3 linked regions of the Arabidopsis thaliana genome follow. The protein of the gene in region 1 interacts with the protein of each later gene in a pairwise test. Each region holds a gene or a part of one and is shown in the gene's direction. Other genes may lie near its edges.

Region 1 (7,594 bases):
TGTACTTTGCTTAGTACCTTCAGCACGCTTCCTAGCTTCTTGGTCCATCTGACTCCCTGAACAACTTGCATCCACAGGTGGAACGGTTTGACCATTTTCAGGTTCACCATAAACCTTCTTGGTTTCAGAGTAACTGCCTTGGTCACTGTCATCAGAGGATGTCTTTACCATATGTAAATCTATTGAAGATGTGAGACTGACAGCAGGTGCTCCATCTTGACTTAGAGGTTGTAATTCTTCGAGATTGAGAGAACTGTCAATCATAGTCTCTGTGGAAAACATTTAGGGGGAAACAAGTAAATTACTTGAAGTAATCATGATATATACATTTACAGTGGAAAGGTGACCCCGACAGAAGCAAAAAAAAAAGCTGAACAAGGGCTACTTAGAGAACGAGAAGGCAAAACGTAAAAGTACACAGTATGAAAATAGAGTATATTAAAAGGATTAGAAAATATGTTTACCTGACTTGTCTGTTGGAATGCTGTCAGATTGAGATTCTGACTCCGCCAACTCTGAAGTAGAGCCTCCTGAAACATAGCCAACAGAACCAGACACAACGCTTTCAGATAGGATCTGAGAGTTCTTGACATCTTGATCTCTATCATTGGCATTGACAGGCAGTTCCATGCTTTGCTCGAGATTAGAAGTGCGAGCACTACCTTCATTGTCACTCTTCTTAGACACACCACCTTCTCTAGCTTCAACCATTGAGTCCATCGTTGAAATATAAACACTCTCTGAAGTTTCAAATACGTGTATCTGCGGATATGTCTCAGTCTCTATCTGAAAAGTAGACTCATGTTCACTTGTAATAACTTCCATATGTTGATGACTAAGCAACTCGGGCTTCTCAATGGAAACACTGTTTGTTATAGTTGTCAATTCCCCAGCAAGTTCCAAAGACGCTTCAACAGCTACGCTAGTATGAACAGTGCTGACAAGGAGATCTTGGCATTCGGTCCCAGAAACATCTTGTCCACCTACCTCAAGAGTAGAGGGAGCTTGGTCCCCTCTTTCTAGTACTGTGACATCAGATAGCTCTATCTCCTTCAAATCAGGCTTTGCAGTTTTGCCAATATTTTCAGCTTCCACTTTTTCAACTTCGGAAGCTGAGTCTATATGGCTATCAGAATGACCTTCAACCAAAATTGACCGTGCATCTGCAGTTAGATCATTGCGGTTATAACTACTTTGAATGTGGTCGCTGATAACATTTTCATCATTGGAAGTCTCTGGAAGTAAAGTGCTCTGATTATTCAACTCACCGCTACAAGTAATAATAGTCTGTACATTCCCATCGCTACAATCATCTTCCATCCTTGATTCTACATTGGCTTTCTCTTCTGTTTGGTCAAGAAGATTATCCGTCGTCTCAGTTCCTATTTTACCAAGATCAGTAGTATCTATAGCCTCTACCGTCGCGGTATTAGAAGTCAAGATGGAATTCTTTTCCTCCACAGATGCCTCTTCTACAGCCGTTGGTGAGTCATCTTTAACCAGAACCTGCTCCTGTCCATCATCTGTCTTTACCACAGAGGACTCTCCTGGAGTATCATCCACAGAGGGGTTGGGTTGTAAGTTCACCGTTTCCTCTTTGGAAAGACTTCTTTCATGGGATGTCTGACCAGGCTCTACTGTTTCCATTGTGCAGCCTAGTTCATGAGAAGTGTCAGATTTCTTGATAGTATCCTCTCTTACAATAACTTCGTCCTGTCCAACTGAATTCAAAAGCATTGCAACAGATTCCGACGAAGTAGCCTCAGACCAAACATTATTGTGCCTAGAAATGGCACAGGACTCCGTTGCACCTGAACTAAACACTATACCACTACTTCCACGAGAGAAATCCTCAATCCAGTTATTATCTTCGTTACCCTCAATACCAAGAAAAGCTTCAGATTCACCTAAACTATCAAACCTCAGATGCGTGTTGAGTGTATCATCAAAATCAAACTTTGGAAGAGCATAAGGCTGTAAAACTGGTGGAAATTTGTTGTTGGCTTCACCAGCTAAATGGAGATTCTGGTTTTGAAAGTCACTGTCATCATAATCCATGAGTTTATTCCTGAAATCAGAGACATATATAAACATCAAACAACCAAAAGAAACAAAAGCATAACACAACAACCGTGAAACATATTTAAAGAAGCGACTCTGGTCATTTTCTTGTCGAGTGGAGTAAAACAGTAGGAAAGCGAAAAGTACCGACACAAGAGTGTATGGAGACGCTACCTCCCTCCATTCGGTGACAAGAAAACCTGGCCGTCAGACCTCAACTGTTACCTAATCGCACGTTCATCTACTACTGCTCCACCAACAACAAAACCATACGCGTCAATTATAAAATCTCTTCCTTCTCAAAATTCAAGGGCACACGAAAACCTAAAAGAGTGAACTTTCTTAAAATGATAAATTGAAACGCTAGCGAAGAAGTTAAACTCACCGGAAAATTCAAACTGACGGAGGTGACCTAGGGTTCCGGCGAAGAAACGAGGTTTGGCGAGTGAAGCAGATTGGGAGAGAAATGCCCGATAAATTATATTCGCTTTCCTCGGCAAATGAAATGAGTCTGGTTTAAGTAAAGCCCAAAATTAAATAAATATTTGGAGAGAAAATAAAGATGGATACTGATGCCGCTTAATCCATAGTGACACGTGTCGAATTTTCTGGATCGTGTGGCTAATATTGAACTTAAACAAAAAGACGCGAAAGGTTTTTTACTTTTAAATTAACGTACGTTAAAATTTAGTGTAATTTACTGGCTAGAGTTCCGTTAAAAGAAAATTAAATGACCAAGAGGTAAAAGAAAACAACTTTTGTTTGACGTGACTGTGGTAAAAGTTAGAAGATTTATTGTTGAAATGACTATTGACTACTGATTAGTGTAATGAAGATGATTGGTTGGCTAAACAAAATGGAAAGTGTCTTAAGGATAAAATTAGAGAAGAGACATGTCACTCACTAACTAATAGATAGAGGCTTTTGTGTGTTAGGCAATTGACGGATTGGACTTTTGGACCATCAGATCAAAAGGAATCCATTGGGATATTTATATGGGCTTAGGCCCACTTTATAATTTTTTTCTGTTAGGTTTTTTTGGTATTTTGGTTTATGAATGATAGTATTTGTACCATAGATGGTTTGGTACGGTTTCGTATTGGTATTGGTTCGACTTCAAGTTTTAATCAAATGTTTATTTAACTTGAAAACAAAATTGGATTTAAAATCAGGTTTTTCTTTCTGTTTGTTTAGTTTGGATTCGAATTCAATATTTTGAATAGGAAAAATGAATTCATAATTTTAAAAAAAATATAGTTCATTTTCAGATCGATTATTTGAGTTTGGACGTTTGGTTCATAATATCAGTTTACTGGGATGGAATAATTTTCAACTTTTAAGCGGTAGTGGGTGGAAAAACATTTGTCAGGGATCGGTTTAATCTAGGATTGAGCATTCCACTTCGTTGTTCTATACTGCAAATTAAATTCATGATAATAAAAAACTATCCATAAACCATATACTAAAAATATTACTTTTAAAATTCATGGGGCGGAGAAAGTATTATAAACAACCATCCTCTCTGCAAATTTTTATTTAATGTCACCACTACTTTGGATCACTTTTCTAAGATCTTAAGTTTTCTGTTTGTTGCAATTTTATTACATGTATATGCCAATATCTCTTACACACCAACTCCAAACAAAGCAGCGGTGGTACATGAATTAACTCCTAATCCCTATTAATATTTTAGGCGTTTAGCACCTCCCAAACTAAAAAATACAAATTGTAACCAAAAAAAATATATATAGATATAAAAGAATACGACCATCTATCATAATTGGTGTGAGACAACATTAGTTTAAATGCAGGATATTAACATGACAACAGAACACTCTTATCTTCACATATTATGAAATACCTTATCCATCATTTTCATAGCATTATACCAATTGGTTGTCTTTAATCATCTTCGATGTCACTAACCCTCAAAATTCAAAAGAAAATGAATAGTCTAAATAATTGGCGGTTTGGGCGGCATCCAATTGTGACAGGCCACGTAGAGTGGGACCAACAACTTCATTACCTCGTTTGGCTCTTTGCTATATATAAAGTCAAGCATTAGTATGCCCAAAACCACACAAATAGAAATAACTTGTAATCAACCAAAGTCGAAAAACAGAGTTATTTTGTCGGATCAAAATGGTGAAGATTGAGATAGGAAGTGTGGGTGACTCCTTTAGTGTAGCATCTCTTAAGGCTTACTTGTCTGAATTTATCGCAACTCTTCTCTTTGTGTTTGCTGGCGTTGGCTCTGCTCTTGCTTTTGCCAAGCTCACATCCGATGCAGCCTTGGACCCCGCTGGTCTTGTCGCTGTCGCTGTGGCTCACGCCTTTGCCCTTTTCGTTGGTGTTTCCATAGCCGCCAACATCTCCGGCGGACACCTTAACCCCGCCGTGACACTCGGTCTCGCCGTCGGTGGCAACATCACAGTAATAACCGGTTTCTTTTACTGGATTGCTCAATGCCTTGGCTCCATCGTCGCGTGTCTCCTCCTCGTCTTCGTTACCAATGGCGAGGTACACAAAAACATTCGTAATTTATTCAATACTATTTATTTAAGTCATGTGTTATTTCTGATTATGACTGTTTTGTCCAAACGACCGTGACTAAAAAATGTTATGCCGGTCTTAAGATCCAGTTTGATTTTAAAAGGTATATGGATTAACCGAGAATGTGTTTATTTCCCGGTTATGCAGAGCGTACCGACTCATGGAGTAGCGGCCGGTTTAGGAGCTATTGAAGGAGTAGTGATGGAGATTGTGGTGACCTTTGCTCTGGTCTACACAGTCTACGCCACAGCGGCTGATCCAAAGAAAGGTTCACTCGGGACCATTGCTCCAATTGCTATCGGTTTCATCGTTGGTGCCAACATCCTCGCAGCGGGTCCCTTTAGCGGTGGTTCCATGAACCCGGCCAGGTCATTTGGACCAGCTGTTGTCAGTGGTGACTTCTCTCAGATATGGATCTACTGGGTGGGTCCACTAGTCGGTGGTGCACTTGCTGGACTCATCTACGGAGACGTCTTCATCGGATCCTACGCTCCAGCTCCCACCACAGAAAGCTACCCTTGATCAATCCTATAGCGTTTTAATTTGCTTGGCTTGCTTTTTGTTGTATGAAAATGTTTGGTCCTCGTTTCTTCCAAAAATGAATGATTGAATGTGGAGAAAAAGATCAAAGTTGTACTTTGTGTTGGTTATAAATAAGAATTGTATATTTTCAAATTTTATATCTCTGCCTTGTACTTTCTTGCATGTGTTAATGGCTAAAAATAACCGGTTTTAACTGTCCAATTAAACACTTCCAACCTTTTGATATTAAAATCACATCACACATGTATATAAGAAAATATGTTTTGGGGAATCTTTCAAATATATGCTTGAAAGGTTGACAAAAAAATCCATAGATTCAAGATATCCCAAATTGCTCAATTTTTTGTTTTGTGGAAAGGCCAATATTTCCTTATCCAAGGCCTAATACTGAAAAGGGCCCATTAGAATCCAATTAAAATTCATAAACTCAAGCTAATACACAAATTGGTCTTATTGGCTGGAGACACTACTATTGTTTAAACAACCGTTTAAGAGTACTCAACTTAAGTGATACAAATAGTAATGCTAGAAAGACATTTTAAAAATTCGTTATCCCGTGAAACCAAACCAAACGATGAAACGACAGAGTACATTAATAGAAAAACGAAATGGTCTCTTTACGTATGGTTTATTATTTGAAGGAAGCTGGTCGGTTGTGGGGGAATGAATCGTGTGAGAGCCGTCCGCTCAAAAGACAAAATGCTCTTAAACCAATGCCTTTGTCGTCTCTTTGTGGTTTCACAAACCGTCCCACCAGATTAAGATATTACCTGAATTCATGGACATTGTTCTTAACCATAACATTATCCTCTCTTTCTCCACACCTATATAAAGAACATGGAGACGAGTTCTTAAAATTTGCAAGACTCTTACGGTAAATTAAACACTTATCCAGATTTTTATTGTAATCTATATTATTGATTAGTCTGCACGTACTTTTGGGACTCGTGGTTTGAATAATTCTCTTTTCTCATAGAAAAAGAAGAAAAAAGATTCTCTTATTGTATAAGTTAGGTTTATGCTCTTCCTCTTCTCTTCCACCTGAGTCAACATCATCCTTTTCATCTTCAAAAGCTTTTTCCTTTTAAAATCATTTTCTTTATATTTTTCTTTTTCTCAGTTTTACAGTTCATTTTTTTCAAGTTTTAATTCTGAAACTCAGAGCTGGTTCTCTGTTTTGATCACATGGTTTTGTTCAGAACATAACTCTTGTTCCACCAGGACAATAAATACCATCTTCTGATCACACGTCATCTTTCCATATTCAAGAAAACTTCATTTTCCATCGGAAGATTCGTTTAGGAGAGAAAATGGAAAGTGGCTTTTATTCAGATTGGAAAGATACTTCTTCTTCTTCGTTCTTTGGATCAGAGAATATGGAGGAAGAGTTGGAAGATGGAGTTCTTAGAGCTGAAGAGCTTTTCTCATCGATTCCTCAACCTCAGACACCTAAAGAGCCAATGGAGTTTCTGTCTAGATCCTGGAGTCTCTCTACTTCTGAAATCTCCAAAGCACTTGCTCTCAAACATAGACAACAACAAGATCAGTTTTGTGTTGGCCAGAACAGTCCTCCTGTTTTGTTCCCTGATGCTGCTGCAGATCCACTCGTGGTACGATCCTTTTATCCCTTTTCCAAATTCCAATGAAACCCTTTTTCCAACTATTTCTTAGAATTATGATGAGCCTTAAAAGTCAGAGACTTTTCAATTGTATATGATTGCCATTGCACCAGTTCCTAACATAGTTCTTGGGAATTGGAATGGATAATAATAGTGGACTCTTTTCATATTTTACAACTTTGGGATTTTGATTCTAGGCTGGGAAGATCATGAACTCTGTTGGCACACGTAGAGCAGGGACATTGTCTAAATGGTTTCACCACAACAAGGAACACAGCACCAGCAGTACTACTACCAATCTCAAGAAGAAAGATAAAGTGCGTGTGGAGAACGCCCACGTGCATTCTGCCGTCTCTATAGCGGCTCTGGCTGCAGGTTTAGCCTCTGTGACATCTGCTAGCAATTGCAAAGGGTCAGGCTCCAAGATGGCACTGGCTTTAGCCTCAGCCACTGAACTGTTGGCCTCACACTGTGTTGAGATGGCTGAGCGAGCCGGTGCTGACCATGCACGTGTTACTTCCACGGTTAGATCTTCTGTGGATATCCACAGCCCCGGTGATCTCATGACTCTAACAGCCGCTGCTGCAACTGGTAAGGCTTTGTTGCAGCTTCACAAGGCTTTTTCAGTTTCGTTGATATGCATTTGATCTGACTTTGTTTAAACTGACACTAGCTTTGAGAGGAGAAGCGGCTCTGAAGGCGAGGCAGCCAAAGGAAGCAAGGAAAAATGCAGCTATTACCCCTTTTGAGAGAAGTTTCTCTGATTCTCATTGGCATGCAAATTTTCAGTATAGATTGGAAGAACCAAATCTTCCATT
Region 2 (9,138 bases), on another chromosome or scaffold:
AGAGAGATCAAAAATGGAGGAGAAAATGTTGCTTTACGGTTTTAAGAGGGAAATGAGAGAATATTTTCAGTTAGAGAGAGATGCCACGTGGCGAAAGAAGAGAGGTTAATAAAATAGCGATTGTGTGACTGGGAGGTGTGTGTCTCTCACAAATGGAGGTCCGTGTCTTTCTCCTTTATTTTCTGTTATATTCCAAGTTTTTCTGTGACATATTTAATGTAACTATGAACGGATTAACGAATTATTGTTGTTTTTATTGTTTTGGTCCATTTCTCAATTTGGTTTCTTTTACCAATAGTACAATGTTAAATGAATTTGTTTGATTTATATGGTATCATAACATGCATGCATGGCCTAGTTTTTAGTATGTATGAATCTTTGTAGACATTGCTTTATATGGTATGATACCATTGGTATCATATCATTGCATACTCGATTTTGTATATGCATGGATTAGCAAGTAGACATTGTTTGAAGAATGAACAACAATTAAGGAAATTCTCAAAATGCGTGACATCCAATCTAGAAGAACTATGTGTATTAAAAGTTTCTGAAATTAAATTCTAAACTGACTCATCTTTGATTGTGTTTATTCTTTCTAACGAAAACCATTATCCATTCGAACATTTTTTTTAACATCTTATTCATTCATTGATTTGAAAATTTATACAAGTTTATATATGTGACGAACAGACGAACAAAAAAAAAACTTTGATTTAGATGCTTAACACGTAGAGTTATGCATAAATTCCTATGTTTAAATCCCATGTACCAGAATTATAGCCTACTATCATTGTTTAATCCCATGGAAAAGCACACTCTGTTTTAGATTCAAAAATCACATGTACCAGAATCATAGCCTACTATCATTGTTGATCTGTTATTGCTTGAATCAATTAGTAAAATTTCATGTTAAGCACATTTTTTTTTTTCTGAGAACTTCATTGAAAAAGTCCACCATTGGACTATAAAAAAAAAAAAAAAAAAAAACATAAGCTCTCTTAACATAATTTGAATAAAATTGTATTAAAAAAATAGAGAGAGCCCATAGGGAGGCTCTCTCTATTGGAGATGGTCTTACATGGACAAAATATGGTGCATATGTAAGCTTTGGTTGTAATATATTTATCATGAAATATTTTAAGTTGAAGGGAACTCCATTTGTTTCTTTTCTTTTAAGATTTATTTTGATCAAAGGAAAAAATATATTACTGGATTCGAATGGTGAAATCAAGTTGCCAGACTTTTTTTGAAGTTGGCAGACTTTGTGATGGCCAAACTTGTAAGTGTAAAATAAGGAGACCAAAAGAGAGATGTGGAGGGTAATACTATTTCTAAGCTTATAAAGTGAGAAGTAAAAATAGTAAGTGGTGTTTTTTTTTCTTTTTTTCTTTTTTGTCGGCCTAATATGTTTTATAAAAGCCCAAATGGGCAGATATTCGGTACAGAAGATGGCCAAAAGTTAGCCCACTAATTGCAAAACACAAGATAAGAAAAATAAAAAAGAGATACGTGTTATGCAATGTGGGATGTTGAGAGAAGAAAAAGGTTTCGCCGTCACCGACTCATCATCACCGGAAACTTCCTTCATCAGCTGTCACCGACTCATCATCACCGGAAACTTCCTTCACCAGCCGGCAGATCAACTCAGTCCTCCAAGAAACCTCTATCTCTGCCTTCGATTGTACCTACTCGCCTTTTGCCATAGATCACCAGAAGAGATTGGTTGGACCTAAACTTGATCACGAGAATTTGTAACCTCAGCCGATTAGCCCGAAATATTCATCAGAACAAGACGAAGACTCCAATTCTTCATACTCCGTCCCAATCAACCGCATCAACTTGATCAATCCACCAAGGAGAACCGATGCTCTAAACAAGCCCTTTTGGCGGAGCAAGGAATTACCTTCACTTGGGAGAAGAATCAAGCACTCAATGAACAAGGATCCATTTGATGACTTCTGGAATTTTCATCTTCCCGAAATTGGAAGAGTTAATTTGAGCCTGCAAAAGGCAACCAAAAGAGAAAGAAAGAAAGTAAATCCGAACAAGTCGGAAAGAGAAACCGGCATCAAAACAGGAAATCTAAAACACAAACCAAAAAGCTCTGATTGAAGACGGAGATTACAAAAGAAAAACAGAGCTCCCTCTCTGTAAAAGATATGAAAGAGAGAAGAGATAGAAAACTCTTTTCATTAAATGTTATAATACGAAAATGATATTCAACTATTTGTTCTCAAGAACAAGATGAGTGTCGTTAACATTAGAGTGTGAATATATTTTTGTTATAAAAATTGTCATGCGTTACGGAAAAAACAAAATGGTCATGCGTTTGGCTACACTGGTTCTTTTGGGCCTAAAGGATTTTATTTTACGTGCTCGAGTAACTTGGGCTATGGCTAGTGGATTTAGAAGTGGACTGTGTCAAAGAGTCAAAATAGATAGGCTAAAATTTCTGGTGGAAAGAATTAAGCCGAAAGGTCAACGGTATGGTACAAAGCAAAAAGGCAAATGGACCATTATTGCCAAACTTTTATTTTTATTCATTCAGATTTTGTGTCAAATTGCCAAGTTTAGAGACACATAACAGTAGTACACTTTTGCACTGACTATCAATTTAAATACGAATTCTCACTGATTAAACTAATTAAGACGCATCATTATAAATTTCTTAAATCATAAACACTAGAATCCAAAATCGATTTTCATTTTTCCCTCTTTTCTTTTTTGAATTCTTTCCTTTTTTTGATTCCTTCTTCTTCTTTAAATTCAAAATAATCTCTTATCTCTATGTCGATTGATGGTGCGAAAGAGAAAAAATTGTGCCTCAATTTGCTTAATTAACGAAAATTCGTGATTAAATTGAAAATCAACATAAAAATTGAGAATTTAAATTACCAGATACAGAACTCATAGTTTAAATCAACAAAAATAGTAAACTACTGATTTAAATGACATTTTTCCAAAAAAGCAAATTGTACAACATATTGTGTGATTTGGACCATATGGTACCAAACCATTATAACTAAATTAGATAATTTATGTTTATATTATTATTTCTTCTCAATATATAAGAGATTTATATAATAACCAATAACTATAAAATGATGAAAATTAACAAAATAACATCATAAGCTCAATACCTTAGGAGAGAACATATTTAACGTGTAACTGTCAAAGTTACTCCAAACAAAGTTTGTGTTCTTTTTTTATAAATAACAATGTTTGTGTTGAATGACCTCAATGAAGAGATTTGTTTGATAGTATTAAATAGCTAATATTTTCTTAAATTTTAGTATAGTTATGACATATTTGTATATGGCCTATTTGTATATGATCAGTATTATTCTGTTTTATTGTCTTAAAAATGATCAATATTATTCTGTATTTATAGATAAAAGGCTATTTTTCGCTTTGGAATAATTTTTAATTTCAAGAAATACATACTAGTTTTATTTATTCATTTAGACATGTTTGACATGAGTAGTTGATGAGTTTGTCAATTTTGAAATACCCACTGAGAAAATTTATTTTGTTTTACATAATGGAACTTCCTCTAACTTACGAAACTCTTAATTTTAATATAAATAAACAAACGAAAGAAACGAAAATTGGTCAGTTTTTTTTTTTTTTTTCTCTTCTGGTCAATGCCATCTCTCTCCCTCGTCTTTTCAGTTTCCTAATTTCCATTGTTTCTTCAAAACAACATTTCACAGATAGCTCCACCACGACCTGACGAAGATCCTCCGCGTGAGCAAGTTTCATGTTCTTCTTCTTCTTCCGATTCATAGTTTTTTTTTTTTCCGGTAACTTGTCATCAATTAGATCTCGTCCGAAGTTGAATCTTTAGTTCGCGAGCTTTTGGACAACTTCGAGGTAAAATTCGTTATTCTCTACACAACTTCCGATTAACGCTTGTGTAGCTACTCTCAACTTTGCTGCTTGATCCAATCTCGTCTTAAGTTGATTTTAGCTGCGAATTGGAACCGAATTGGTTTTTATGTAAAACTGTTACTTTTTTTGTGCGTGTATTGTTAAGAATGATGGATCTAGTTATATAAGCTTGAAAGAAGTTAGTTTCTTTGGTAGGTCTTAGCTTTGCAATGAAATTGTACGAACACGATGGAGTTGATTTAGAAGATGGGAAGACAGTAAAATCCGGAGGAGATAAACCAATTCCAAGAAAGATACATAACCGGGCTTTGTTATCCGGTTTAGCTTATTGCATTTCATCATGCAGTATGATACTTGTCAACAAGTTTGTTCTCTCCAGCTACAACTTCAATGCTGGGATCTTCCTTATGTTATACCAGAACTTTGTCTCGGTGATCATTGTGGTTGGTTTGAGTTTAATGGGTCTAATAACTACTGAACCACTTACTTTGAGGTTGATGAAGGTCTGGTTTCCAGTGAATGTCATCTTTGTTGGTATGCTTATCACAAGCATGTTTAGGTAAGAATGTGTTTCTACACCTTTATTTTGTGTTGGTTTGTTGAATTATATATCGATGCTCTCTTAATTCTCAAGCCTATAAGATTACTAAATTAGTAAAGTCAACTTTTTGGAGTACTAAAGGTAGTTATAAGAATCTGTACATCATCTTTACAGCAGATCGAGGATTAAATAACGTGTAGACACTTAGGTGAAACAGATAGATATTTTGGATTTACTTCACAGTAGGTCGAGATATATAGATATGTATCGTATATGTGTATGTAGGCGGTGTTTGAAGAGCAGATTGAACTTGATTGTCTATTTGAATTACATTTTCTTTGACAGTTTGAAATACATCAATGTAGCAATGGTCACTGTCCTGAAGAATGTCACTAATGTGATAACTGCAGTTGGTGAGATGTATCTGTTCAACAAGCAACATGACAACAGAGTGTGGGCTGCTCTCTTCTTAATGGTATGTTTGTCTGCTTTAAAAGTATTTCTAACTGATTCTGTAAATTGTACCTGAGAAAAAACTATTCTCAAGGAACCTATTTCAAGCTGCACATAGATAGCATTTTGATTGGAGTTTTTGAAAGATATCCTTGTCAAACAACGATTCTATACTGTTTTGGATTTGGTTTTCTCTTGTTTTCTCAAAGCACTCTCTGATCATCAACCTTAACCAATAAAGTCTAAAGCATATCTTCTTATTGATAAGTGATCCACCCTTTTGTGTGCGTACACAGTTACACTTGTCGTAGCGGCTTTCAGTGGTGTGGCATAGCCTAACCTTTCAATACTGTTGGAGATACATGTTTTTAACTGCTTCCACAATTAGTCTGCCAGGGAAATGTAATCATGTTTTTTTGTCACGGCTACTCATTGTTATATGTATATTCTATTTGTTTTTGTATAGATCTTGAATAAGTAGAGGATAAAGTTTTGATTAACCTGTGCTTCTTTCGTCCTTCATTTGCAGATAATTTCCGCAGTTTCTGGAGGAATAACAGACCTATCATTCAATGCTGTTGGCTATGCTTGGCAGATTGCTAATTGCTTCTTAACTGCATCGTACTCGGTGAGTAAACATTTGATCATTTGTGTTTTCTTTTCCCAAAATGTTAGGAGTCATTTGAAACAATAAACACATATATGAAAAGGAGATCACTTAAAAACCATGCTTTCATGTCGAGTATTACATGCTGTTTGGTTAAGACTAAGTCAATAAACTAAACAGCCTTCCCTATAATCATTACGATACTGGCTTGCTTTTGAGTTTTAAGATGCTCACGAGATACCGAGATTCTGTTACCTTAGAAAATTTTATAGCTTGCAATCCATTGTCACTGGTAACCTGAGTACTTCACTCGTTGTTAGAAGTAGGAATAGCATGTTAAAGAGAAGACTTTGGGCAAAGAATGCAAATTGACACCATCAACTTCTCAGTTCTCACTAGGTTTTCCATTGCTGGGTCAAAAAACGAGAGTGTTAGACTGTTAGGTTCCCATAAATTTATCCCTATATCCTGTCAACAAAAACCAAGTGTTTGGCTTGTTAGCTAGGCTACTATACTCTTATAAAATTTGCCACCACTTTTGACTTGCCTTATATTTTGTTGTTTTGCAGCTGACTTTGAGAAAGACCATGGATACGGCCAAGCAGGTTACTCAATCTGGAAACTTGAACGAGTTCTCCATGGTCTTGCTTAATAACACACTTTCATTACCACTTGGGCTTCTTCTTTCTTATTTCTTCAACGAGATGGATTATCTCTATCAAACGTGAGTTCCTGTCCTTATTTCTGTGTCAATGGAAAATGGTTTGTGTCATCTGAAAACAAAATGGTGTATTATATTTGTGCAGGCCACTTCTACGATTACCAAGTTTCTGGATGGTCATGACACTTAGTGGACTTCTAGGGCTTGCCATTAGCTTTACTTCAATGTGGTTTCTTCATCAAACTGGAGCAACAACATACAGGTAGCAAATTAGAGAGAGATAGAGCAATTTCAAAACTTTGCTTAAGAGAGTGTTGCTGTCCCCTAGCCTTCTCCATATATCCCTTTCCTATGTTTGCTTCTTTGTTGGTTCAGTCCTAACTAGATACATCTTTCGCTTTATTCAAAATCATAGCCTGGTGGGATCTCTAAACAAGATACCTCTATCCATCGCGGGGATCGTTCTTTTCAATGTACCGACCAGTTTGCAGAACTCAGCAAGCATACTCTTTGGTAAGCGTTCTCTCGATCAGTTCCCTTTTCCAACTTCTTGAAGGAACACATATCGCTTGTGTTGTGTATTATTATTAAACCTGAGGTGGCCTAATTTGCAGGTCTTGTCGCTGGAGTTGTATTTGCTAGAGCCAAAATGAGGGAGAAGTCCTAAAATACTAACCATCTACAACACATTTTACTACATCAATCAGTATAGGACATGGCAAAAGCTGATTAAAGCAGAGCAATGAGTTTATAACCTCAGAATTCTATGCACGTTATGTGTTTCTTGTAAAAGCTTTCGCCACTCTACTTGTATAATGTTAGTAAAATATTAATGAATGTATCGATTCTTGAGTGGTAAGAGAAGTGTTGGTTTATGTGTTTCTTCGTTTTTACCAATTTTCCAGTAAAGAAATTCAATGGTATGAGATTTCAACATAAACTGAAAACCCTAGCCACCTGATGATCAAGAACGACGGAAAGATGATGAGAGTGAGAATTGCGAAGGAGAGATCTGACTTATGCGACTTGACTGCTGCTGCAATTAAGGCTACTTACAATACACGGAACCCATGCGAAGTCGAGCGATGCATCGATGTGTTGAATCACTTGAAGTCTCTGTCTCTTTCCGTGAAGGATATACGATTGTCTGAATCAATAGTTAAACTGGAGACTTTGAGAAGTCATAGGAACCCTAGAATCCGTAAGGAAGCCCAAGCCTTGTTTCATTCATGGTTGAAGACATTCTACGCACATGGAAGCGACAACTCTTTCACAGCTGCTCTTACCAAAGATCGTCTGAAGATGAAGAAGCATGTTCTAAAAATGTGTTCGGAGTTGAAGAAGAAAGAAGAACCGGGAACTATGGCTCGTCAAGTCACTGCCTTTTCGGTGTTGAAGAATAAAGAAGACGAGAGATCTCAGACGACTGTTGAAGCAGTAGAGAGTAAGACAACGATCAAACTCTCGGAGTTGAATAGGAAAGAAGATCAGAGATCATTAACTCGTGAAACAGAGAAGAATAAAGCAAGGAACAGCTTTTTGGCTTTGAAACAGAAAGAGGATCATAGATCTGAGACTTGTGTCGAGAAATATTTTAAGAAAGAGACAAAGACCAATCTAAAGCAGCTCAACATGAAGACAAGGCGTGTCTCTTTGGAGGATGTTACAACGAAGAAGCCACATGAAGATGGTTCATTGATAAAGAAGACTAAAACAGAAAAGGAGCTGAAGAAGAAGAAAGTGGATGAGATGGTGAAGTTGTTCGAAGCAGCAAAGAAAGCTGCTGATGTGGCCAACGCTAAGGGTGTTCTCTCAGGTAAACCAGAGGTGTCTCGCTGCATTGACGCTCTCTCGTTATTGATGAAGATCAACATTACTCCAAAACCAAAAGAACCAAGGAGGATGATGGATAAGCTTGAGGGACTTACAAAACATAAAGATCGCAAGATTTGCCATGTTGCATCAGCCCTTCTTCACCTTTGGAGACAGAGGATCAGAGAACAAGAACGTAAAAAGTCTGTTACCAAGGCTTCATCAAAGACGAGGAAACTTAGTTATGTGAAGATCATATGGCTTGAACAAATCAAAGTCTCTTGTGGATTCAAAAGGTTCTGAACCATTTTATTGAGATCGAATATAAGTGTGAGGAAGATATAAACTCATTGTAAGCATGGTTGAGTGCTGAGCAAGTATACTGGTGAATTTCTCGTATGTTATGTAGGGTTCCACATTGGAACCTGAATTTGTAATATTCTTTGTGTCTTTACTTTTCCATGCTTTGTTTGTTACACAAGAGAGAGATCGAGTGAGTTCGAGAGAGAAAGAAGGTGAGAACCAATCATGATGAGTGTCTTACTTAATGCAACAATATTGTGGCGAATCTTAATTCTATTACATTTTTTACTCATAAAGGATTTCCATTACACCAAAGAAAACAAAAGAGTACTTTTCTGTTAAAATTTCAAAATATGAGGTTTTATTTACAAATTCTCAAAAAAGTTTTGAATACATATTACTATATTAGTATATATCGCCGTGAAAAGTTATTAGGTTAAGAGTAAAAGATATTAAAGGGCTTAACTTCTATGAGAGGAAGTGAAATCACCATGAAGAAAAGGGCAAGGAAGTCTAAGAAACCAGAAGAAAAAAGAGATGAATACGACCGCGTTCAAATGAAGTTGCCAACGAAATCCATAGCCTAGCTAGGTTAGGTTTTGAATCACTAGTCATCGATAATCCGCAGCAAAGACTTCACCAACTTGTACATGACTTGATCTTTGGCTCAATTGCGTCTTCTTTTCACAGTCTATCGTCGTAACATGCAGATGCAGCTCTTTCACTCCTGCTCTCAGGAGGATCCGTCTTTTAATCATCGTACTATGAATTCGGATCTAGGGTACCTGTTTTCTCCACCCGTCGAGGGTTTGATCTTCTGTAGAAATAATACTAAAGCAATGATTGGAAATCCTAGTACGGGTCAGT
Region 3 (7,988 bases), on another chromosome or scaffold:
TATTAAATTGAATCAAAAAACTTTTAAATAGTGAAAATATATACCCTAAATTGGAAATAAAAAACCCAAATATAATACTACAAACTAATTTAAAATGAAAAATCTCTTTAAAATGATTGAAAATATAAACCCTAAATTGAAAATAGGAAACCCATATATAATACCATAAACTAATATTAAAATGAATCAAAATTTCTTTTAAATAGTTGGAAATATATACCCTAAATTAGAAATAGAGAACCCAAATATAATATTTTAAATTTATTTCTAATTTATTTTGGTTGAATATATTTTTATATAAAATTGTGGTATTATTATTGTCCATAAAACTTGTTTTTGTGTTACTTTTAAGAATTTCTCAAATAATTATTTGAGTGCTATTTATGTCTAAAAAACTTTTTAATGCTATTTTTTTCAAAAAACTTAAAAGTGTGCTATTTGTGGGAATTTCTCAAAAAGTAAATTAGTGATAATATTTTTAGAACAAAAACTTTAGAGTAAGTCAATTAGTGCTATTTTTGGAAGTTTATGGAGTGTGTGCTATTATTGTCCATAAAACTTGTTTTAGTGCTATTTTGAAGAATTTCCCAAAAAACTATGTCTCTTATAATTAAATAATAAAAAAGATTCAAAAGTAAAGAAGATAAATTTATAAACAAATGTGTAATCAAAACAAGGATTTTGCAAAATGGAAAGATATGACACAACAATTAGACAATACATATACTGAATTTCAAATTTCAAATTTCAAATTTCAATAAGTTGTTTAATGTTTATAAATTTATATATTAAACAAATATTTTTGATAAATCTGATGTTCGTATTCATGATACATCTATCATAAAATAAATATTTTCTTTAGTTAAAATTAGCAAAACAAAACAAGGATTTTGCAAAATTGTAAGATATGACACAACAGTTATAGGTACATATACTGAATTTCAAATTTCAAATTTTAAGTAAGTATAGATTTATTTAAATTTAATGTTGTTTTGTCATACCGATGTAATTGGCTATATAATATTTTTTGAGAAATCTGATGTTCGTATTCATGATACACCTATCCTAAAATAAATATTTTCTTTAGTTAAAATTAGCAAAATAGAATGTGTAAGATTGAAATTTGTTTTTTCTTTTAAATATTATATTAAATATAAAAAGTGTGTTAACTACGATTTAGAGCTCATATATCATAAATTAAAATTAGCATTTTTTTTTTCTCACCCGCCTATTTAGGCGGGCCTTATCTAGTTAATTATAAAAAGACAATTGACAAAAATAGCACCAAAAAAGAGTTTTTTTCCAAAATTAGCACAATATTTCTGAGATTTCACAAATAGCACGATAAAGTTCAATTAAACTTAACTAAAATATAAGATTGAAAATAAAAATGAGAGCAAACACTAATCTAATATTAAATTGAATAAAACAATTGTAGAAATATATATCCTAAATTAGAAATAGATAACCCAAATATAATACCACAAACTAATATTAAAATGAAAAATCTCCTTTAAATGGTGAAAATATATACCCTAAATTAGAAATAGGGAACTCAAATATAATACCATAAACTAATATTAAAATGAATCAATTTGTTTTTAAATGGTTGAAATATATACCCTAAATTGAAAATAGAGAATCCAAATATAATATTTTAATTTATTTCTAATTTATTTTGGTTGAATAGATTTTATATAAAAATTATGATATTATTCAAAAAATAAATTAGTGATAATACTTTTAGAAAAAAACTTCATAATAAGTCAAGTAGTGCTATTTTTGAAAGTTTATGGAATGTGTGCTATTATTGTCCATAAAACCAGTTTTAATGCTATTTTTAGGAATTTCTCATTGTAAAAAGAGCATTGCAAAAATATTAAGACAACAACAAAAGTAAGCTCTTTAGCTGATATACGACCACCAACTATCTGGCTATCGAGAAGATCTAATATGCAGGGAAGTTATTCACTAGAATAATTCAATAGATTTGTTTAGTATAAAACTATTATTAGATTGAGTAAATATAAAAATAGTATATTTAAATTTGAGAGGAATGACATATGTCAAATGAATCAAACACCACTTGTCAGTTTTTTACGGTATGAGTTTGAGGGAACCTTACTTATATGTAAATGTATAAAAATAGTTAAACTTAATAGGCGTTCGTTCTAATCCCTAAAACAAAACCTTAGTTACTTTAGCGTATAGGGCAAGTAGGCGCAGACATGGATATGTCGATGAGAGAAGAGAAAAGACCAAAAGTGTTTGATAATCACGGTTGGTCCAAACTTTAATTTGTCCCGCGCGATCTTTGCAAAAGACCATGAAAATATTGATCTTTATTTACCTAAAGATCATCAAGGTGGATGCGCGTAACGATTTGATGAGAGAAGAAAACTGACCAAAAGTATCTCATCATCACGACTGGTCCAAGCTTTGTCTTGACCTTTTGCGAAAAATCATTGAAAGCTTGAACTCTATTGACTACCACCAAGCAAAACTCGTTTGCTCAGATTGGTATTTCGTTTGGAAAACATGCGTGAAACGGCCTCTGTATCCATGGCGGATCATATACTACGATGATGATTCTTCCAGTTTGTTTGATCCCGGTGAAGACAAGATTTACGGGACAAAACTCCTCGGACTCTCTGACAATAGCTATTATATGGCTAGCTCCGGAAACTGGCTCTTGATGGTAGATTCTTGATAGGTTTATAAGGTCGACTACTAGAGAAAGAAGCTGAGAAGATTGGGCTAAGCGAAGCTGAGAAGAGAAAAGAGGAAGTCAACTACTGTGTTGACTGAGTTGACTTAACAAATGAGGGCAAATACTCTTTCCAGTTAGAGGCCTTGAAACTCTTCTTCTATAAATACTGACTCTGTTCTTATCTGGGGATTTTATGCTTTTTATGTTGTGATATTTCTCGAGAGAGAATTGGCCTTGTGATGTGCCAGAGGAAGAGATCAATGTTGATCTCTTGGTCATCGGTTGCTTATATCTATGTTGATCTAAACATAACGATTCTTATCTTCTCTTTGTAGTTACGTAATCGATTCTATCATTACGATCTAGAGTTTCTAGAGTTTAAGGATTTGAAACTTTAACAAGTCTCGTCTTGATTCGAATCTTATTAAAGATCAATCTTCCGTCAATGGAGTCGTCAGTTCGCGGTGGAAAAATAAGATTCGAGCCAAGCAGATACTATAATAGACAAGGCAAGTGGGGATGGTTCGTCCTCCATCCTTTTGGTAAGTATTGCGTGTCCAAACACATGTTGGGAATAACAAGATCAGTTGGTCTTGGATAGATGAGAGGACAGTGGATTATTTAATTGCTTGGACTTTACACAACAGTTATTTGTTCACATACAAGAAAGGAGATGATTCTTGGTGGAACTGGAATGATAAGTATGGGACATCAGCTCCGATGTTTGGGGATTTAGCTTACAAGAACAGCAAGCTTTATCAGTATACTTTGCGCCACTACATCAAGATTATTGATTATTGTTACATACTTTTACTTCACCTTTTTGTTTTGAATTTTTTTTTTTATAATGATTTTAAGACAAGATTGTGTCAGCCGTTGACTTATGATCAACTAGGAACCTAATCGGAACGCAACTCGAGATTCATTTTATTTATTTTATACTACAAAATTATCTTGAAAAATATATCGAGGAAGGTGTCATATCTCATGGAATCCGAATCTGCCAATAATATGAGAGCCACTAGCAATTATTCTGAATCTCCCCAAAGGGAAGAATCAAAAGTTGTTCTCTCTTGTTCTGTCTTTGTTCTTTGTTAGAGTTAGAACAGAAGCTTCCAAAAGGTAATAATAATCTCTTTCAAGAAACTCATTATTAGTCAAAGATGTTTACTTTTTAGTACTCTCTCTGTTCTTCATTGCTTCTCTAGAAACCCAATAGATTTTGACTCTTGCCTTGCCTTTGCGGTTGTCTAAAGATCACAATCCTCAATTTGAGTTTGATCGATCATTAATGTGTGTCGAAGATCAGATAACCAAAAGAATCTTGTTTGGTGCAGAGTTTTTTTCATGATTTTTATAAGTATATAAAAGAGAGATAGAAAGATGTATATGATAGAGAGCAAAGGAGGAGCAATTGCATGTATGCTCTTGGCTCTTCTCTTCTTAGGGACATGGCCAGCAATCATGACTCTAACCGAAAGACGCGGTCGACTTCCTCAACACACTTATCTTGACTACACACTCACAAATCTGTTAGCTGCAGTGATCATAGCGTTGACACTAGGAGAAATAGGTCCGAGCAGACCAAATTTCTTTACACAGCTCTCTCAAGTCAGTCACATCTTCTTACTTCTCCTTAGACATCTTGTCGAAAACTATTGTATAACCGCGGTTTTTTTTTTTATCATAGGATAATTGGCAGTCAGTGATGTTTGCAATGGCTGGAGGAATAGTTCTTAGCCTTGGAAACTTAGCAACACAATATGCTTGGGCTTATGTTGGTTTATCAGTTACTGAAGTCATCACAGCTAGTATCACTGTTGTTATCGGTACACTCTTCTTTCTTCAACTACTCTTAACTGATTTTTTCCTCTGTTTCTTCTCTGTTCTTATGACCATTTCTGTTTTCTAGTACAGGCACAACTTTGAACTATTTCTTGGATGATAGAATCAACAGAGCTGAGGTCCTTTTCCCGGGGGTCGCTTGTTTCTTGATCGCTGTTTGTTTCGGTTCCGCTGTTCATAAATCCAATGCTGCTGATAACAAAACCAAACTCCAAAATTTCAAAAGGTTTGAAAAAGATTCATATCTATTGTTGTTTCCGTTTGGTTTGGTTTGGTACTAATCTTGATCTTGTTTCAGTTTAGAGACTACTTCTTCCTTCGAAATGGAAACAATTTCTGCAAGCAACGGGTTAACAAAAGGGAAAGCGAAAGAAGGGACTGCAGCTTTTCTCATAGAGCTTGAGAAGCAAAGAGCTATAAAGGTTGAAACATACTACTCTTCCTTTACCCTAACAGATATAACTGATATGTATATATGTTCTCTGAAGATTCATGATTGGCATTGAGGACAGGTCTTTGGCAAAAGCACAATAATCGGATTGGTGATAACTTTCTTTGCCGGTATCTGCTTTTCTCTGTTCTCACCTGCATTCAACTTAGCAACAAACGATCAATGGCACACATTAAAACATGGAGTTCCAAAACTAAATGTGTACACTGCCTTCTTCTACTTCTCCATCTCTGCATTTGTAGTTGCTCTGATACTTAACATCAGATTTCTCTATTGGCCTATACTTGGTCTCCCAAGATCTTCTTTCAAGGCTTATTTGAATGACTGGAACGGTCGAGGCTGGTCTTTCTTGGCTGGATTTCTATGTGGATTTGGCAATGGTCTTCAGTTCATGGGTGGTCAAGCCGCAGGCTATGCAGCTGCAGACGCTGTTCAGGTTTAGACAATAAACAAATCCTCTGTTCCATGATTTAAGAGTGAAATATGTTTTACTTATTATGATTTGAATATGTTTCAGGCACTTCCACTTGTGAGTACATTTTGGGGGATATTGTTGTTTGGAGAATATAGAAGATCATCAAGAAAAACATATACACTTCTCATCAGTATGCTTCTTATGTTCATAGTCGCTGTCGCGGTTCTTATGGCTTCCTCGGGACATAGAAAATGAAATTCACTGAAACTTCTTCAAGTTAAACTGCTAAAAGGATCCATTGAAGGAAGAGTTACTTCACCAATGGCTGCAACATGTTCAAGTCTTTGTTTATATTTAACCAAAGTGTTTTCTTTGTTGGTTTCTGTCTTAGGGCTTTGCTAACAACAATTGGTTGTATTGTCTTTGTTTACACATCAGAGAAAGAAAACTATAGTTTATGGCAACTTGAGATTTATTTATTTTATAGAAAATGGGAAACTAACTTCTTCCTGAATCTGGATCTGCCAATCAAATGAGAGACTAAGTTTTTTTTCTTCTGTATCTGTTGTTCTCTGGTCTTCCTCAAAGTCAAAGTTAAGACAAAAGCTTTAATAAGGTAATCTCTTTCAAGAAACCTAGTCAATAGGGAAATTTAATGGAATATAAGGTTTGAGTTTTATAGAGATCTTCTTGTATCAGCATGTGTCTTGTGTTAATGTTCTAAAGAACCTTTCTTAAGACAACTAGCTTCATTTTTATCACGAGAGATCAATGATATGATAACAGAAGAATCTCACTTCTTTACTTTGATGCAGTGGGATTTGGTGATTTTATAAAATGTATGTGATAGAGAGCAAAGGAGGAACAATCACTTGTATGCTCTTGGCTCTGCTCTTCTTAGGGACATGGCCAGCAATCATGACTCTAACCGAAAGACGCGGTAGACTTCCTCAACATACTTATCTTGACTACACACTGACAAACCTGTTAGCTGCAGTTATCATAGCGTTTACACTAGGCGAAATAAGTCCAAGCAGACCAAATTTCACCACACAGCTTTCTCAAGTCAGTTACACATACATTCATACACATATTTGTTGTTGGTTTTTGAAATGCAAAGTTTTTTTGTCACAGGATAATTGGCCGTCTGTGATGTTTGCAATGGCTGGAGGAATATTTCTTAGCCTTGGGACCTTAGCAACACAATATGCTTGGGCTTTTGTTGGGTTATCTGTCACTGAAGTCATCACAGCTAGTATCGCCGTTGTTATCGGTAAACTCTTCTCTTCAACTACTCTTAACTGATTTTTTTCCTCTGTTCTTATTAACTCTTTTGTTTTCAACAACAGGCACAACTTTGAACTATTTCTTGGATGATAGAATCAACAGAGCTGAGGTCCTTTTCCCGGGGGTCGCTTGTTTCTTGATCGCTGTTTGTTTCGGTTCTGCTGTTCATAAATCAAATGCAGCTGATAACAAATCCAAACTCCAAGGATTCAAAAGGTTAAAAAAAGATTCACTATACTAGGTCTTTGTTTTGTTTTCTTTTGGTTTGGTTTTTAACCTAATCTGATCTTGTTTCAGTTTAGAGACTACTTCTTCCTTCCAAATGGAAACAAGTTCTATAAAAGAAGGAAAAGCAAAAGTAGGGACTGCAGATTTTCTTATTGAGGTTGAGAAACAAAGAGCCATAAAGGTTAATAATAATACACACAGCATTTTCCTAAACAGAAATAACTGATATTCACTGATACTCAAGATTTGCGTTGACAGGTTTTTGGGAAAAGCACAATAATTGGACTGGCGATAACATTCTTTGCCGGTATCTGTTTCTCTCTAATCTCACCTGCAGTAAGCTTAGCGACAAACGATCAATGGCACACTTTGAAACATGGAGTTGGCACACTTTGAAACATGGAGTTCCAAAACTCAATGTGTACACAGCCTTCTTCTACTTCTCCATCTCTTCATTTGGGGTTGGTCTGATACTAAACATCATATTTCTCTATTGGCCTATACTTGGTCTCCCAAGATCATCTTTCAAGGCTTACCTAAATGACTGGAACGGTCGAGGCTGGTCTTTCTTGGCTGGATTTCTCTGTGGATTTGGTAATGGTCTTCAGTTTATGGGCGGTCAAGCCGCTGGTTATGCTGCTGCAGGAGCTGTTCAGGTTTAAGACCTCTTTTCTGTTCAATGATTTAAAGATTGAAAATAAACATTTTGGGGGATACTGCTGTTTGGAGAATACAAAAGATCATCAAGAAAAACATATACACTTCTTATCAGTATGCTATTTATGTTCATAGCTGCAGTCGCGGTTCTGATGGCCTCATCGGGACATCGAAAATGACTAAAAATGCATTCCACAGAAACATCTACAGACTAAAAGCTTCACAACTTTGGTTTATAAACTTGTAAGATACGGTACTCTTGTATGAAGGTAAAGTGAGCAACATGTTCAAATATATCATTGGTTAAATTTTAATCGATGGGTTTTGATGTTATATCGTCAGTATAAATATATACGTCTCGCATTAATTAGGGTTTCCGTGGTTCTTAACCCTAA

What was found. Proteins that work in one complex are often made in the same cells at the same time.
Region 2: the proteins of TIP2;2 (region 1) and GONST1 interact in a protein complementation assay, tested with the Arabidopsis thaliana proteins (one large-scale study listed by BioGRID).
Region 3: the proteins of TIP2;2 (region 1) and UPS1 interact in a protein complementation assay, tested with the Arabidopsis thaliana proteins (one large-scale study listed by BioGRID).

Annotation. Positions count from the first base shown.
Region 1 is NC_003075.7:9,695,115-9,702,708, forward strand, and holds TIP2;2 (tonoplast intrinsic protein 2;2), read left to right. Parts: upstream 1-3,825; 5' UTR 3,826-4,203; coding exon 4,204-4,581; intron 4,582-4,761; coding exon 4,762-5,136; 3' UTR 5,137-5,358; downstream 5,359-7,594. Other genes in the region: G2484-1 protein, read right to left, coding at 1-269, 465-2,058; AT4G17350 (auxin canalization protein (DUF828)), read left to right, coding at 6,468-6,767, 6,974-7,367, 7,450-7,594. UniProt on the Arabidopsis thaliana protein: Aquaporins facilitate the transport of water and small neutral solutes across cell membranes.
Region 2 is NC_003071.7:5,685,269-5,694,406, reverse strand, and holds GONST1 (golgi nucleotide sugar transporter 1), read left to right. Parts: upstream 1-3,635; 5' UTR 3,636-3,876; intron 3,877-4,089; 5' UTR 4,090-4,103; coding exon 4,104-4,453; exon of another isoform or gene 4,454-4,697; coding exon of another isoform or gene 4,698-4,780; coding exon 4,781-4,910; intron 4,911-5,417; coding exon 5,418-5,516; intron 5,517-6,064; coding exon 6,065-6,219; intron 6,220-6,301; coding exon 6,302-6,418; coding exon of another isoform or gene 6,419-6,422; exon of another isoform or gene 6,423-6,571; coding exon 6,572-6,669; intron 6,670-6,770; coding exon 6,771-6,823; 3' UTR 6,824-7,091; downstream 7,092-9,138. Other genes in the region: AT2G13660 (uncharacterized protein), read left to right, coding at 1,518-1,725, 1,790-2,115; AT2G13640 (Transcription factor IIS family protein), read left to right, coding at 7,117-8,271; AT2G13630 (F-box associated ubiquitination effector family protein), read left to right, coding at 8,976-9,138. UniProt on the Arabidopsis thaliana protein: Involved in the import of GDP-mannose from the cytoplasm into the Golgi lumen. Required for the luminal synthesis of a variety of plant cell surface components. Is required for the correct mannosylation of the glycosylinositol phosphoceramides (GIPC).
Region 3 is NC_003071.7:1,091,036-1,099,023, forward strand, and holds UPS1 (ureide permease 1), read left to right. Parts: upstream 1-3,666; 5' UTR 3,667-4,093; coding exon 4,094-4,321; intron 4,322-4,400; coding exon 4,401-4,539; intron 4,540-4,627; coding exon 4,628-4,781; intron 4,782-4,853; coding exon 4,854-4,977; intron 4,978-5,067; coding exon 5,068-5,442; intron 5,443-5,523; coding exon 5,524-5,676; 3' UTR 5,677-5,941; downstream 5,942-7,988. Other genes in the region: AT2G03580 (F-box family protein-like protein), read left to right, coding at 2,229-2,280, 2,517-2,698, 3,141-3,252, 3,358-3,446; UPS3 (ureide permease 3), read left to right, coding at 6,259-6,486, 6,556-6,694, 6,771-6,924, 7,006-7,117, 7,209-7,598. UniProt on the Arabidopsis thaliana protein: Proton-coupled transporter that transports a wide spectrum of oxo derivatives of heterocyclic nitrogen compounds, including allantoin, uric acid and xanthine, but not adenine.